Caenorhabditis elegans: one gene and its partner. The protein of the gene in region 1 purifies or fractionates together with the protein of each later gene. This does not show direct contact. Each region holds a gene or a part of one and is shown in the gene's direction. Other genes may lie near its edges.

Region 1 (4,883 bases):
TTGAAATTTCCGCTATAATTTGATTGAGTTAACTGACACAATTGTTTGTTGGTGATTATAAAATTGATAGAATTTTTTGGTGAGCTGATAAAAATTGTAAGAAAGAATAGTTATATTAACATTTCATTAAAATATAAACAATTTTCAAAATAGTCGTTGATTTACTGAATGTTTATTTATGATAAATAATATTCATGCAAGAATATTTATGACAATAGTTTTATGAACCCCCCATCTAATTTTATTAACTTAGTTAATTTACTCATTTCTCGTATAAAAGCAAAATATTCGGCTAATCAAATTTAATTTCAGAATTTAAGTGCAACACAAAGCGTTTTTCCATACTCATACTCGAGGCCTGAAGTAATTTTCGAAAGTTATACCAAAGTCTGTGTCACTTAAAAATAGTTCGTTGAAAGTTCTTACTTTTTAATATGATTTTTCAATATTCACGTGCATACAATTTTGACATGAATAGGTTCATTTTACAATAAGGTTTCATAACCTATCCTACTTACTTACACTACGTCAGTTTAATATAATAATAGATGTAGTAAATACCTTGATTTTAGATGGCTAGTTTTTATGGAAGGCGTGTATTAAACACAAGTGATTTGTGAATTGATTTATATCAGCTATGTTACAATATTGACATATAATTTGAAACGAAAAGCCATCATGCAGTCATGTCCGAGTGGTTAAGGAGATTGACTAGAAATCAATTGGGCTCTGCCCGCGTAGGTTCGAATCCTGCTGACTGCGGAACTTTTTTTTTTTGAAATTCGTGATTTTGTAGTCGATAAGTTTGGTCATTCAATATGGTTTCAGCTTCTGTCCTTGTCGATTCCAATATTGAAAACTGCATAAAAAATGGAAAAAAAAGTTTCGAGAAAAGTGGCTGTTCGTAATAATTATAAACAAGTTTTTTATTTGAATGGAAGTTTGTCTGCATCATGTCCTCGGTAGTATAGTGGTGAGTATCCGCGTCTGTCACATGCGAGACCCGGGTTCAATTCCCGGCCGGGGAGAACTTTTTTGTTGATTTTTCAATTGATACATTCAGAATATTACACAAGGTCATAGTTTCCAATCTGATTTATGTCCCTTTTTCTGAAATATGTCCTTTTTGGGAAGTGTTAACAACATTTAAACTTAAAAGTTTGATATTTAAGCTTTCAAAGTATTCAAGAAAAAACTGCGCAGGATTCCTAGAGAAGTCGATTCAGTTGTTCAAGATGCATGTCACTCCGAAAGAAAAAAAGTCGGGAATATTTTTTTAGAACTGGTAAATCGGACTAATCCAGACGTCCGTTTGCAGGATTCTAAGTGGCTTGGTGCCTGTTTTGAGGTATTGCAGAGATTTTTCAATAATTGTTTCGGTTAATAAAACATTTGTCTAATTGTGTTTCTCATTTTAAAATATTTACCATAAGAATGAATATGGAAACTGACGAACGAAACCTACGTGAGTGAAGTCTGTGTTTCACTGTACAAATCTTAAATTTCCAAATGGAAACGATTTTTGAAACAAAGCAACAATTTGTTGACAACCAACTCCAAATAAGATCCTAAAACTCAAAAAAAAAATTTCCATACAAAGTTACTATGGACAGAAACTAAATTTCCGAAACTGGATGTAAAGTTGGTGAAATTTTGTTACAACCATCAATTCCCGAATACAAACATCACCACTTCAATATCAGTCTATCTGAAAACAAATAAAAAAAATCTCCAAAAATTTATCTTTCAGAAACATATTTCAAAACCTCTGTACGATGTCTGGTTCCGAAATTACAGCCGTTTCTACGAACTCAGTTCTGCGCCGTTGCCATAGCAACTCCCTCCTCCCCCTTTTTATCTTTATCTTTATCCCCACAGCTTCTGGCTGCAACTGTGGCCTAGGCAGTAGGGCGGCTGTCTATGGATCAGAGCTTTTTTGATCCGACGGGTTCGACCCCCATGAATGGCAAAGCATGCGGGGCGAGATAGCAGAACTGGAGAAAAGTCTCGAAATGATAGAAAATTACTTGCAGTAAAGAAAAGACCCGGTAGTGCTCACCGAGATGTCTGAATGAATTTGGAGAATAAAAAAGAGCTCGGTCGATAGGGACTGTCTCTGAAATGGCACACTGTCGGCTTTCTGTGGTTGCTATAATACTCCCTCCCTTCATAATCCTATATATGAGAGCCTATAAGATCCATGTAAGGCAAAGCATGAGATAAAGCAGAACTGGAATATGAGTCTCAGATACCTCGGAAGTACTGTTGCATGAGGTATTGGCACGACGATTGAGCAGAACTGAACAATGAAAATGGATATAATTGAAGGAGATCGTTGATGAAATGTTCTCAAATTGCTACAAACATTGGAAAATCAGGGAATGAGAAAAACTGGGAGATGAAACAAAGAATTTCTGAGTTTTCAGCTGAATAATTGAGAAAAACGAGGCATTTGCATGGTGTCCTTCGCCACTTGTTCAATCTGAAAGTTCAAGAATGATCTGGTTTTGTTTCCCTTTATTTTCTGATTCTGTGGTAGAATGTTTTATGCCATCAAATACAATCTGTCAGCAAGCTCCTCGAATTATATACATTTCCAACTAGAATGTTGTAAAAGTAGTGGCTTACAAGGGTGACAGTTTCAAAATACAGAACTATTTTTGTATTTACACTGTGCACACCCGAAATTGAAATTCTTTTCAACCGGTACTCGATTTTTCTTCTTGAAAATTGAATGCGCCCTGTGGAGATATATTCAACTACTACTTACTTTTACAACTTCTAATGTTTTATGACATCTCTCAATTTTGCCGTCCTACTACTGGAAACTGAATAAAGTTAAACTTTTTTCAGAGTAATGGCGAATTCTCCGCTCAAAGTTGACAACTATATTTTGGAAAAGAAGTTGGGAGAGGGATCTTATGGGGATGTCTACTTCTGCAGAGACGAGCGAAACAACAAATGGAGTGTTATCAAATTGATTCACAAAGAGATAAATGGTGTTCGCGATGAGACCTGGCGCCGCGAGACTTTTGCACTCACTGCACTCGCGGAGGTCAGGGGGATCTCAAGAATGTATGACTATGGGGCGACCGACATTCATAATTATATTGGTGAGATGAGAGATTTGATGTCATACCTTAAAACTATTTTTTTTCAGTAATGGAGCCGCTCCTGGACGACTTGACCAACATTGCTCGCCGAAACGGTATCAAGGGATTCTCAAAGTCTACTGGATTTCACATCCTTTGGCAGCTTGTCAAAATCCTCCAAGATGTTCACTCTTTTGGGATTGCTCACGGAGACATCAAGGCTGACAACCTAATGATTTCCGGTTCGAACAAGGTAAGTCTCCGTTTTCTCGGTAACTTTCAAATAATTTCGTACTTTCAGACCTTCATGCTGTCGCTTGTTGACTTTGGTCTGTCACGCTCCTTCAAAGACCACAATGGCAACCGCACTCCCCCAATTCCATTTCCCAGCGGCTGCATCAATCTCATTCACACCCCCGCTCGAACCGCAAATGGCAAACCGCACATGGAAGCGGAGGACCTTATGCAAGTTGCATACCTCGCTTGCATCTGTCGCAAGCTTGCTCCGTGGGAAGATATCGATGGACACAAAATGACTAAACTGAAGAAGGCTTTCGTAAGTTTCCCATATACATAGGTTTCTGTCTTATAGTGTTATTTTCAGGCCGAAAAACCAAAGAAATTCCTTGGAGAACACCAGGATCTCAAGCCGATCATCAAGATCATCGCCAAGCAAAAACACGGAAAGGAGCCGAACTACAAGGAAATCATGGATCTTCTCCAAGAGATGCTCACCTCGTCGGGTGGAGGTTTCGCTGGTGATTCTCTCAAGGCCCAGTTCGTCAATGGAGCGATTGTCCTCCCATAATCCCCTGTATACTATAATGTTACTGGTTTCATTCCACTTCAGATCTTTTCATTTTAGATCTCATTTTTCGCTGGCTTGATTATTTCTATAGTAGATAAAAACATTTTTGTTTCAATTCAGTGTAAACTCAGTCTTGTGAAATTATAATTCAGTGAACAACTGAAATCTGTTGAGACTATCCGTGGAATGGTCAAGTTTTTCTTATTCTTCTTGCGAGACATATCATATATCAGCAACTTTTTTCGATTGGCATAAGTTGATTGAGAATGTATGATTAATGGGGGTCAAAATTTCAAAATGTAGAAGTATTCTTGCGACAAGCTTAAATATCAAACTTTTAAGTTTAAATGCTGTTAACACTTCCCGAAAGGGACATAATTCAGATTGGAAACTATGACTTTGTGTAATATTCTGAATGTTTCAATTGAAAAATCAACAAAAAAGTTCTCCCCGGCCGGGAATTGAACCCGGGTCTCGCATGTGACAGACGCGGATACTCACCACTATACTACCGAGGACATGATGCAGGCAAACTTTCAATCAAATAAAAACTGTTTTAACGGACATCCACTTTTCTCGAAACGTTTTTTTTCCAGTTCCAATGCAGTTTTAGTATTAGAATCAGGAAGGAGTGAAGTTGAAACCATATTGAATGACCTAACTTCTCGACTACAAAATTACGAATTTCAAAAAAAAAAGTTCCGCAGTCAGCAGGATTCGAACCTACGCGGGCAGAGCCCAATTGATTTCTAGTTAATCTCCTTAACACAGGTAAAGCGCGTCAGGTTAGTGGCAACCTGCCAGCAGACCGCTGGCTGCTGAATGGAGAACTTGCGGCAGGTGAAATCGCGGCCCGCTGTCAAGTTGACATTAAGCCGCCGCGGGCCGGCAACAGGCAACGTCAGGTTTGTGTCAGGTTCTTGTAGCTTTTGTATTAGGCTCTATATATACCGGGAGTACTGCTTTTTGTTATTAAATGTTAA
Region 2 (8,584 bases), on another chromosome or scaffold:
GTTAGTATACATAGATCATGAGTTCACGTTGCACGATCTTCATATCCACGTTGAGGGCTAGGTACACGTAGATACCCAACACCTTTGAAAATTGGATGTACCCTTGGAACATAGTGCCGATGTACCCTATGAACAAACCGGTGGATGTAGCCTAAGAATGATTGTGATGATGTCGAATGTACCCTAAGAACAAATGTACCCCCAATTCGGTGTACCCTTGGATCATGGGCCAACTGCGGTTGGTTGGAGCACGCGCATTGGATTTTATGCGGTAAGACAAAAGTGCGAACGTAGCTATAATTTACTCTCTCTCTCTCTCTCTGAAAACGGGGTCGATAAGTGCAAAATCTACGGGATTTAACACCAAAATTTCAGATGCAAATTTTCAGATACTGAGACCGAGATGGCAGAATTAAATGTTGGTTTTCAGTAGACAGTAACATTATCTTCCGATTGGTATGCTTTTTGCTCCATATTTCCACCATATTTTTACGGGGCTCCCAGTTTTTCACTTACATGTGGTGAAGGATCACAGACCAGAAGAAGACGTGTTGTACGTGCTAGAAATGATGACTGGGAGGAAATCGAGTGTGATGATACGGAGACCGAAGTCCGACAGTGTACGGGTCGTCATCAATGTTGATAAACTCTAATTTTAACAATGAAATTTTATGAAAGTGAATATTTGATTCAGATTAATTTGACAACGAAGGAATTTGATTGTTGTGATTACGTAAATGGGTATCAGGGGCGAGATTATTTGTTAAACAGAGATCGAAAATAATAAATGCTTAGGTGAAAAAGTAAAAAAATAGTTCCCTAGTTTTAGTTCGTAAGAGTTGATGGCTCCTCTGAAGTAGATGGCTCGGAGAAGGAGGCTTCAACAAATCCAGTTTGACCATTTTGATCTTCCAGTTGAGCTACTTGCTGATGCCATGCAGCAGATAAATGAGGCTGAACTACTGGCGCATGCTGTGGATGAGCGTCCCGCCAAACTCGATAGCTGAAATAAATTATTAAAATTTGAAATCGTCGTTCTCTCACCCAGGGGTTAATTTCCATTGATAGTAGTATTCGATAAGTTCTCCAACTTTCCGGTAGGGTAGCTAAAATAAAACATTATGAAAACTTTTTGAATTTGCAAAATATACAACTAACCCGTAGTCTCCTTATCAGCGAAAAATCTTTTCCATACAGCTCGAGTGACTCTTCAAATGCCTTTGCTTCACTCTCATCGAATCCCAATGCATCTGAGCGAACAGTGCGGAATGGGGCATTTATATGAGGAAAAGGGAATGATTCTTTCGCCTTTTCTGTGTCAAAGTTGCTTCTATACAAAGCACATAGAGCGTCCTCGTCGTCTCGTGATTCGGTGCCAGCTGGTGGACATGGTTGGTCGTGGGCTTTTCGTAAGCCTACTACATCTTTGAGATAGTTGTCAATAACTTCATCACTTGGCTGATTCGTCTGATCAATTGTCCATAAAATAGTGTCATCTTCTCGAGCAGATTCTGAAGAAATAAATCGATATAGAATCAAAAATCAGATCATTGCTTACCTTCAACCGTTGCTTCATTAAAAAGCGGGACGTCGGCTTGGAAAAGTACTGGATCCACACGAATACTTCTTTTCCATGGGTCTGGCGGTGGTGCATAGTCGTCATCATCGTCGTCGAAGCCACTCATTGAATTACCCATATCGAAAATTGTTGAGTCGTGCGGTTCTGCAGCAGCCGAACTTGATTCCCCTACATTCTGAAAAATATAAACATTTTATAATTTCACTTTATCATTTGTAAATTACTTCTTCGGCGATTTCCGTATCTTCATTGTTTGCAGATGAATTTTCCGCTGGACGATAGCCATACTTACGTTGAAGTTCTTCAATTGACATTTCTCCCTCATCTTCCAAGTCTGAAAAGAAAAATGAGTCAGAAGCAAATTAAAGAAATTCACCTTTCAATTCATCTTCGTAGTCCCCTTCATCTAGAAGCTCCTCCTCTTCAATTGTCGCTGGAAAACCATACGTTGAAGAAATTTGAAAAAATATATATATAAGCATACCTTCATAGTCTTCGCCATTATCATTATCGTCTACATAATCTTCTTCATCAGTGATAGACGAACGAGAACCCTCTTCATCCATATTCAAAGCCTGGAAACTAACAAAAGTTGTATTAAAAACGGAAAAAGCGAAAATAAGTTAAAGCGGTTTGCGCGTCGACTAAGACGTAATTCTCTGTGTGCGGTGTTTGCGGACTTGTTTACAGTAGCTCGCAAAATAAAAAATGATGCAAAGCCAATGGGTGTTTCTAAAAAAGGGGAAGTTAATTTTGAAAAAGTAGAAAGCAACACAGATATAACAAAATAGTATAACAATTTATTAAAATGTAATTCAAATGTTCAGTCTGTTAAATGAAGCCGCCCCTAATATTAGGCAGCTAATCAAATTTAAAAAGTACAGTAACCAAGAAAGTTTTCAGAAAGGCGCATTACCGAAATCGAGCAGGTCTTACAACGTTCTTCAAGGAGATTGTTTGGCGCCCAATTCCTCGAACACACGTTCAGCGTGATTTTCAGTGTGTTTTCTCATTTGTTTTCGTGCAATTTCATCCTTATAATGCTAATATTATCTGTAATTAATCGTTCCACGATGATACTAATACCAGTAACATCGACGGAGGCACTGACGATCATTTATAAAATATTTGAAACTCAAAAAATTTACTGAGCAAACGCTTTAGTGTTAGAAACAAGATTTCAATTTTGCAGATGGGGGAGCAAAGCCATGAAAAAGATCATGATGAAGCGCACTCCTACAATCCATTCGTTCGCTCTGCCGTTGAATACGATGCTGACACACGCCTCCAAATGGCAGAAAATGCGGCATCTGCAAGGTATTAAATATGGTTTACGCTTACAACATTCTAATACTCCGATTTTAGAAAACTATTTGTATCGTCTGCCCTCAAAGATATTATCGTGAATCCTGAAAACTTCTATCATGATTTCCAGCAATCTGCACAGGTAAAGGCAACAACTTGTTATGTTACAGTCAAACAATTCAGATGGCGGAGGATGCTAATCAGAGACGACAGGTGTCATACAACACGAAACGAGAGGCTCATATTCATCAGCTAAAAGCGCAAGGATTGCCTCTGCCGTCAAATATACCAATGGTTTGACTGCTTCACATTCCACTGATTAACTGATTCAACATTTAGATCGAGATTAACCCAACTAGAGTAACCCTCAATATGGAGTTTGAATCCCAATACTATTCACTAATGACCAGGTTAGTTCACCAGTTAAGCGAAAGAAATTGTATTCATTTCAGTGACAACGGGGATCACGAGAATGTCGCGTCAATCATGGCAGAAACTAACACCCTCATTCAACTTCCCGATCGTTCTGTCGGAGGAACTACACCTGATCCATTTGCACAGCAAGTAACCATCACTGGATACTTTGGTGACGTGGATAGAGCACGAATGTTGATGAGAGTACGTTCAACTCTGATTATATGAATAATGTTCGTATTTTACAGAGAAACTGTCATTTTACAGTTTTTATGGCACTGTCAAAAATGAAGATGCCACTTCACGAACTTCAGGCACATGTCAGACAGAACCCCATTCAAAATGTGGAAATGTCTTTCGTCGATGCTCCAGAAAAGGCAAGCCGATTTAGCTAGTAACCAACAGTATTAATTTTCTTCAGAATGGAATCGTCACAACCTATCTTCGTATCACCGCCCGCGAAAAGAATCAGCATGAACTGATCGAAGCTGCAAAACGACTGAATGAAATACTTTTCCGCGAGTCTCCGGCACCGGAGAATGTTAGCAGATAAACTGAATATATATCCTGAACATTTTGTTTTTCAGAATTTCACTCTCCATTTCACATTGTCAACATACTACGTGGATCAAGTTCTTGGAAGTTCATCGACGGCGCAACTCATGGTTTGGCTAAAGGATATTTCTATTACATCAGCATTAAATTTCAGCCTGTAATCGAGAGGGAGACAACGACAATAATTAGTTATCCATGTTACAATAATCGAAACGAAACTCGTGGAAATATTTATGAAATTAAAGTTGTTGGGAACATTGACAATGTTCTTAAAGCCAGGAGATACATAATGGTGAGGAGTATGAATACATAGAAAGATATACACTCGAGAATTTACAGGACCTCCTTCCTATTTCGATGTGTTTCAACATTAAAAATACTGATATGGCAGAACCGAGCAGAGTTTCTGATCGGAACATACACATGATTATTGATGAGAGTGGGATTATTCTTAAAATGACTCCTTCCGTGTATGAGCCCGCGGATCTACTGTCAGGAGAGGTTCCGTTGAACTGTGCCAGTCTTCGTTCGAAGGAGTTTAACATAAAGAAGCTGTACACCGCTTATCAAAAAGTTCTCTCGGTAAGCGCACGTCTCTCTGAAATGAGATTAAGAACAAGTAATTTTCAGAAAAAATTTGATTTCATTGCTCCACAACCAAATGATTATGACAACTCCATCTGGCATCATTCTCTTCCGGCAAACTTTTTGAAAAATTTCAATATGCCGGTTAGTCATGTTTATTTTACATTTTAGTTCAAAACGAGATTTTTTCAGTGTCGGGGTGAACTTTCTGATGGTTCAAACGGTCGTCGTCATAGAAGCTCATCAATAGCTTCTTCTCGTTCCAAACACAGTTACATGAGCAAAGGAAAACAATTTTCTGAGTCGTCTGGGGGTCCATCAAGGTCTCACACAAGAGTATCTTCGTTTTCCGAAAATTCATGTGAGCAATTTGCCTTTTATGATTGTAAATAGTACACACAAATTATACTATAAAATTATTTAAGAAAAGCATATCAAATTTATTTAAATAACAATGATAATAATATTACTACAGAGTGCTTTAAAATCAGGAAATTTTGCAGCAACCGTCCCTATTATGCAATTTCCAACGCCACATTTTGCACCACCAATGTTAACTCCTCATCATCACATGCTGAAATACGTCTATTTGCAGCAACATCAGCAAGCTCAGACATTTTTGAAAGGTTGCTATTATATATTTTGTTTCGACAATCATACAAGCTTTCAGGTGCAGCTGGATTACATCCTGGCACACATATCATGTTCCCTCCACCGATCATCGTCGATGGATCCTTTGGTGCGCGTTATTCTTCAAATATTTATCCATTTTCTTACATAGTTCCACAGAACTTTAACTTTTTGAACGGAAATTTCGGTCACCTTTAGAAGATCTCTCGTCATGTTATATATTCATCGTGTAAAATGAGCTCTTCATGAAAAATTTGCCAAATTCTGGATAGTTTTAAGCCACAAAATTTTCTCTTGTTCCTCCTACCGCCACTATGTAATATTTGTCTTTTCACCCGGTTGTGATGATCTTATTACGTAAATTCAACCACAATAAAGCGTTTAGCTTCCATCAATATTCTATGTCTTCGTAAAAATTATCATTATTGAAATTTTGTGTTTCAGTGTCTGCTCTGCCATTTGCGGATCCTGTAGTATTTGATGGTTTTCCTTATGTCCACGGATTGTTTCCGGTAAATGAAGGTTGGTTTATTCGTTCAAAGCATCATTGCAACAATCACTTTCAGCCGAACAACACAGAAATCACCGTGAATCATCACCATCTCTACGATCAACACAAGAAATCAGAAAACCGTCTAGAAACATGGGAAATCGACCATCATCGAGCACAGGTTCTTATTATCCATCGACAACACCTCGTCAACGTGTTTACGAACAAGTTCGAGAAGATGATCTTCGTTCACATATTGGTTCAAGAAGAACATCAGTGAATGGAGACGATCAGAATGTTGAAAGCATGCACGACCGTAAGACTATGACAATAATAAAATTGATAAAATCATAATTATTACAGAAGGATATGAAAGACAGTACCCACGACAGCATCAAAGACTTCAGAAGGATGATCAACAACGCTGGAAGACAGGAAGTCGTGGAGATATTCACTCAAGTAGAACAATTAATGTGCACAGAGACGTTCGCAATTCCAATGAATACGACTTTCATGTGGGAAATTCTGGGCCAGCTAAGAGGTCCCCGTCTTTGGAACAAGTACAATTGCAAATGACACACCACTTGAAGTTGAAATCGAATGATGTTGATTTGGATCATGAAAAGCTTTATATGCATGAGTCACCGCACAATGATTCTGATACTACAGTTTCTGCAAGTGGCTTCGGAAATGATTTAATGGATGGAGACTTTGTTCAGAGATTCCTATCCAATGCAAATATCAATGAATCGGGAAGAAGACCAAGAACAGTTAGCTGTTTTACCGAGAAGTACGTTTTTAAAGTTGAAATTAAAAGAGTTTATAGCTTTTCGTTTACATCATAAATGAGCATTTTTAATTTGCAAAAAATACATATTTAAGCATTCATATAATCAAAACATTTTACAGAGATGGTCAATCCGCCCGATACATCGATTCTGATGGTGCATACAGCGTTGTTGATCATGCATCCACACATCAATCTCGTTCATATGATAGCTTCAGAAAAGTTGGCGACAACGGAGTCACAAAAACCATATTGGAACCACGTGCTCGAGTAGAGAAAGATTATGGCAAAATAAGCCTAGAACACAAGACGAAATACTCAAATGAGTACGGTGATGAAGAGAAGTCAGCAGAAAATGATACGTCTTCGTTGGGATCTAGACAATACAGAATTGATCCAATGAAGTTAATAGCTAGTGTTCGTGAATCGAGTGAGCAACTACCACGTATTCATGAAAGGCAGTTTAGCGATGTTCTGAATGAAAAAGAAAAAGAGGCAAGTAGTCTATTGGCTTGCCATAATTATCTGTAAAGCTTCAGATCGCCGACAAAAGTATTGAATCTACAGTAACCCAAGATCTTTCGTTAGGTTTGTAAATCCACAATTGGCTAATTAACATACATATATTTCAGACGAAACATCTACATATTGAGAAATCGGGATTTTTCCAATAGCTTCTTCTACTTCTTACATCAATTTTCGCTATATATGAACCCTATTTGTGCATATCGTATACGGCTCCATCAATTTTTATCTTACAAACCATCCATTTGCCTGTCGAGAATATCTTTGTATCCACGGGACTTATACGACTAGGCCGATGGTTGGTGCTTAGCCTTCACAGTTCTACACTTATTTTAACCGAAATTATTTTCCAATTCTTCCCGTATTATTTCATTGTTGTCACCTCTTCGTTCGTCATTTTTCTATCTTTTCATTCCTTTTGCAGACGTTGGAAGCATAGGTAACATGAAAAATTAAATGAATTCACAATGAAATTCAGAATTTTCGTGCATCTATACTTCCAATTGCAATTTATGGCACTGTCGATGTTCCCTTCCCTATATTTAATGTTCTTCCTTTTTTCTCCCATAATTCCCAGTTGTTTTTGATCGCAATATTGTCCCGGGTCCCATCATATCTAGGTTTGTTTCAATGTATTCCATCTTTCCTTTCTTTTTTCATCACTTCATATACACTACCACTTTTATTGTCTTTTCTTTTTTTTTCGTCATTCAACTAGGATTTCATTAGCAGTTTATCCCAATTTCCTCTACAGTTCTGTTTATAAATGAAAGAATTGCGGAAATATTGTTGTTAATCACATCTTATCGTCCGACAACTTTCGATTCAGCAAGGACATGTTCATTGATAATGTTCTAAATTTCTAATATGGAAAGTCTCTTGGTCGTTCAAATCCTCGCCATAGTCTTCATACAAGTGGAAGATTTTGATTTTAGAAAGACTAAAATTAATTCGTCTCACTTGAATGTAGCGATAAAAGGATAGAAGAAACAAAAAAATTTTTCCTGAATTTCCCTGAATCGATACACTTTCTCCATATAATCGTAAAGCGAGGTCTCTCTTTTTTCTTGAAACGGACTGTCCATTGGAGGCACTTATTTCTTGAAATGAGCCAATCTTCGACCGCCTGACTCTACTCACTCCATAATTTCATCTGCATCATCTTCTTTTCCCAAACCAAAAAATGTGTATTCTTATTCAAAACGACGCTTGTTTTTTTTAATACGGAAAGAAGATTTGATGACAGACTTCCTTGGATTTTTCGTTAATATGTATATGTGTAAATTTTTTTCAAATTAAAGATAGTAGTGCATTGGGAATATTGTTAAAAAATCACTCATATAGTACTAAAATGACGATGACTCGGTTTTCCACACTCATCATAATTTTGGAAGTCGACAATTTTTTTTCATTATTAAAATGTTTCTAATAATAATTATTTTATTATTGTAGGAGCTGAAACATGTGATTTTTTAACCGAATTTTTCCTGAATTTTTCGCGAAATTTGGCAATTGACCAAAACATTGACTGAAAATTTCAAAAATTGTGCTTTTTTGAAATTCTTTTTTGAATTGTGCAAAAAGTGCTTTTTTGAGTGAATTTAGATTATTATGAGTTAATTCAAAATAAATCCACGTTAAAGCTACTCCATCTGGAAAGCTTAAAAAATCGTTCTTTTTTGAATAAAGATAAAGAAATAGAAGAATCGATTAT

The links. The genes of interacting proteins can lie anywhere in the genome.
Region 2: the proteins of F22F1.2 (region 1) and gld-3 fractionate together in Caenorhabditis elegans (co-fractionation; one large-scale study listed by BioGRID). This does not show direct contact.

What each region holds. Positions count from the first base shown.
Region 1 is NC_003284.9:8,148,691-8,153,573, reverse strand, and holds F22F1.2 (non-specific serine/threonine protein kinase), read left to right. Parts: upstream 1-2,852; 5' UTR 2,853-2,857; coding exon 2,858-3,113; intron 3,114-3,160; coding exon 3,161-3,345; intron 3,346-3,393; coding exon 3,394-3,648; intron 3,649-3,696; coding exon 3,697-3,900; 3' UTR 3,901-4,015; downstream 4,016-4,883.
Region 2 is NC_003280.10:7,129,872-7,138,455, forward strand, and holds gld-3 (Defective in germ line development protein 3), read left to right. Parts: upstream 1-2,771; coding exon 2,772-2,896; intron 2,897-2,944; coding exon 2,945-3,026; intron 3,027-3,067; coding exon 3,068-3,178; intron 3,179-3,223; coding exon 3,224-3,294; intron 3,295-3,336; coding exon 3,337-3,502; intron 3,503-3,546; coding exon 3,547-3,675; intron 3,676-3,719; coding exon 3,720-3,839; intron 3,840-3,885; coding exon 3,886-3,963; intron 3,964-4,007; coding exon 4,008-4,145; intron 4,146-4,192; coding exon 4,193-4,435; intron 4,436-4,483; coding exon 4,484-4,582; intron 4,583-4,630; coding exon 4,631-4,799; intron 4,800-4,941; coding exon 4,942-5,064; intron 5,065-5,108; coding exon 5,109-5,177; coding exon of another isoform or gene 5,178-5,266; exon of another isoform or gene 5,267-5,456; intron 5,457-5,512; coding exon 5,513-5,590; intron 5,591-5,634; coding exon 5,635-5,874; intron 5,875-5,921; coding exon 5,922-6,348; intron 6,349-6,467; coding exon 6,468-6,840; intron 6,841-6,884; coding exon 6,885-6,933; and 4 more. Other genes in the region: T07F8.4 (ELM2 domain-containing protein), read right to left, coding at 826-1,003, 1,045-1,106, 1,159-1,511, 1,559-1,754, 1,804-1,913, 1,956-2,012, 2,064-2,145. UniProt on the Caenorhabditis elegans protein: Required maternally for germline survival and embryogenesis. Forms a complex with gls-1 which promotes the oogenic cell fate by freeing the translational repressor fbf to repress sperm promoting factors.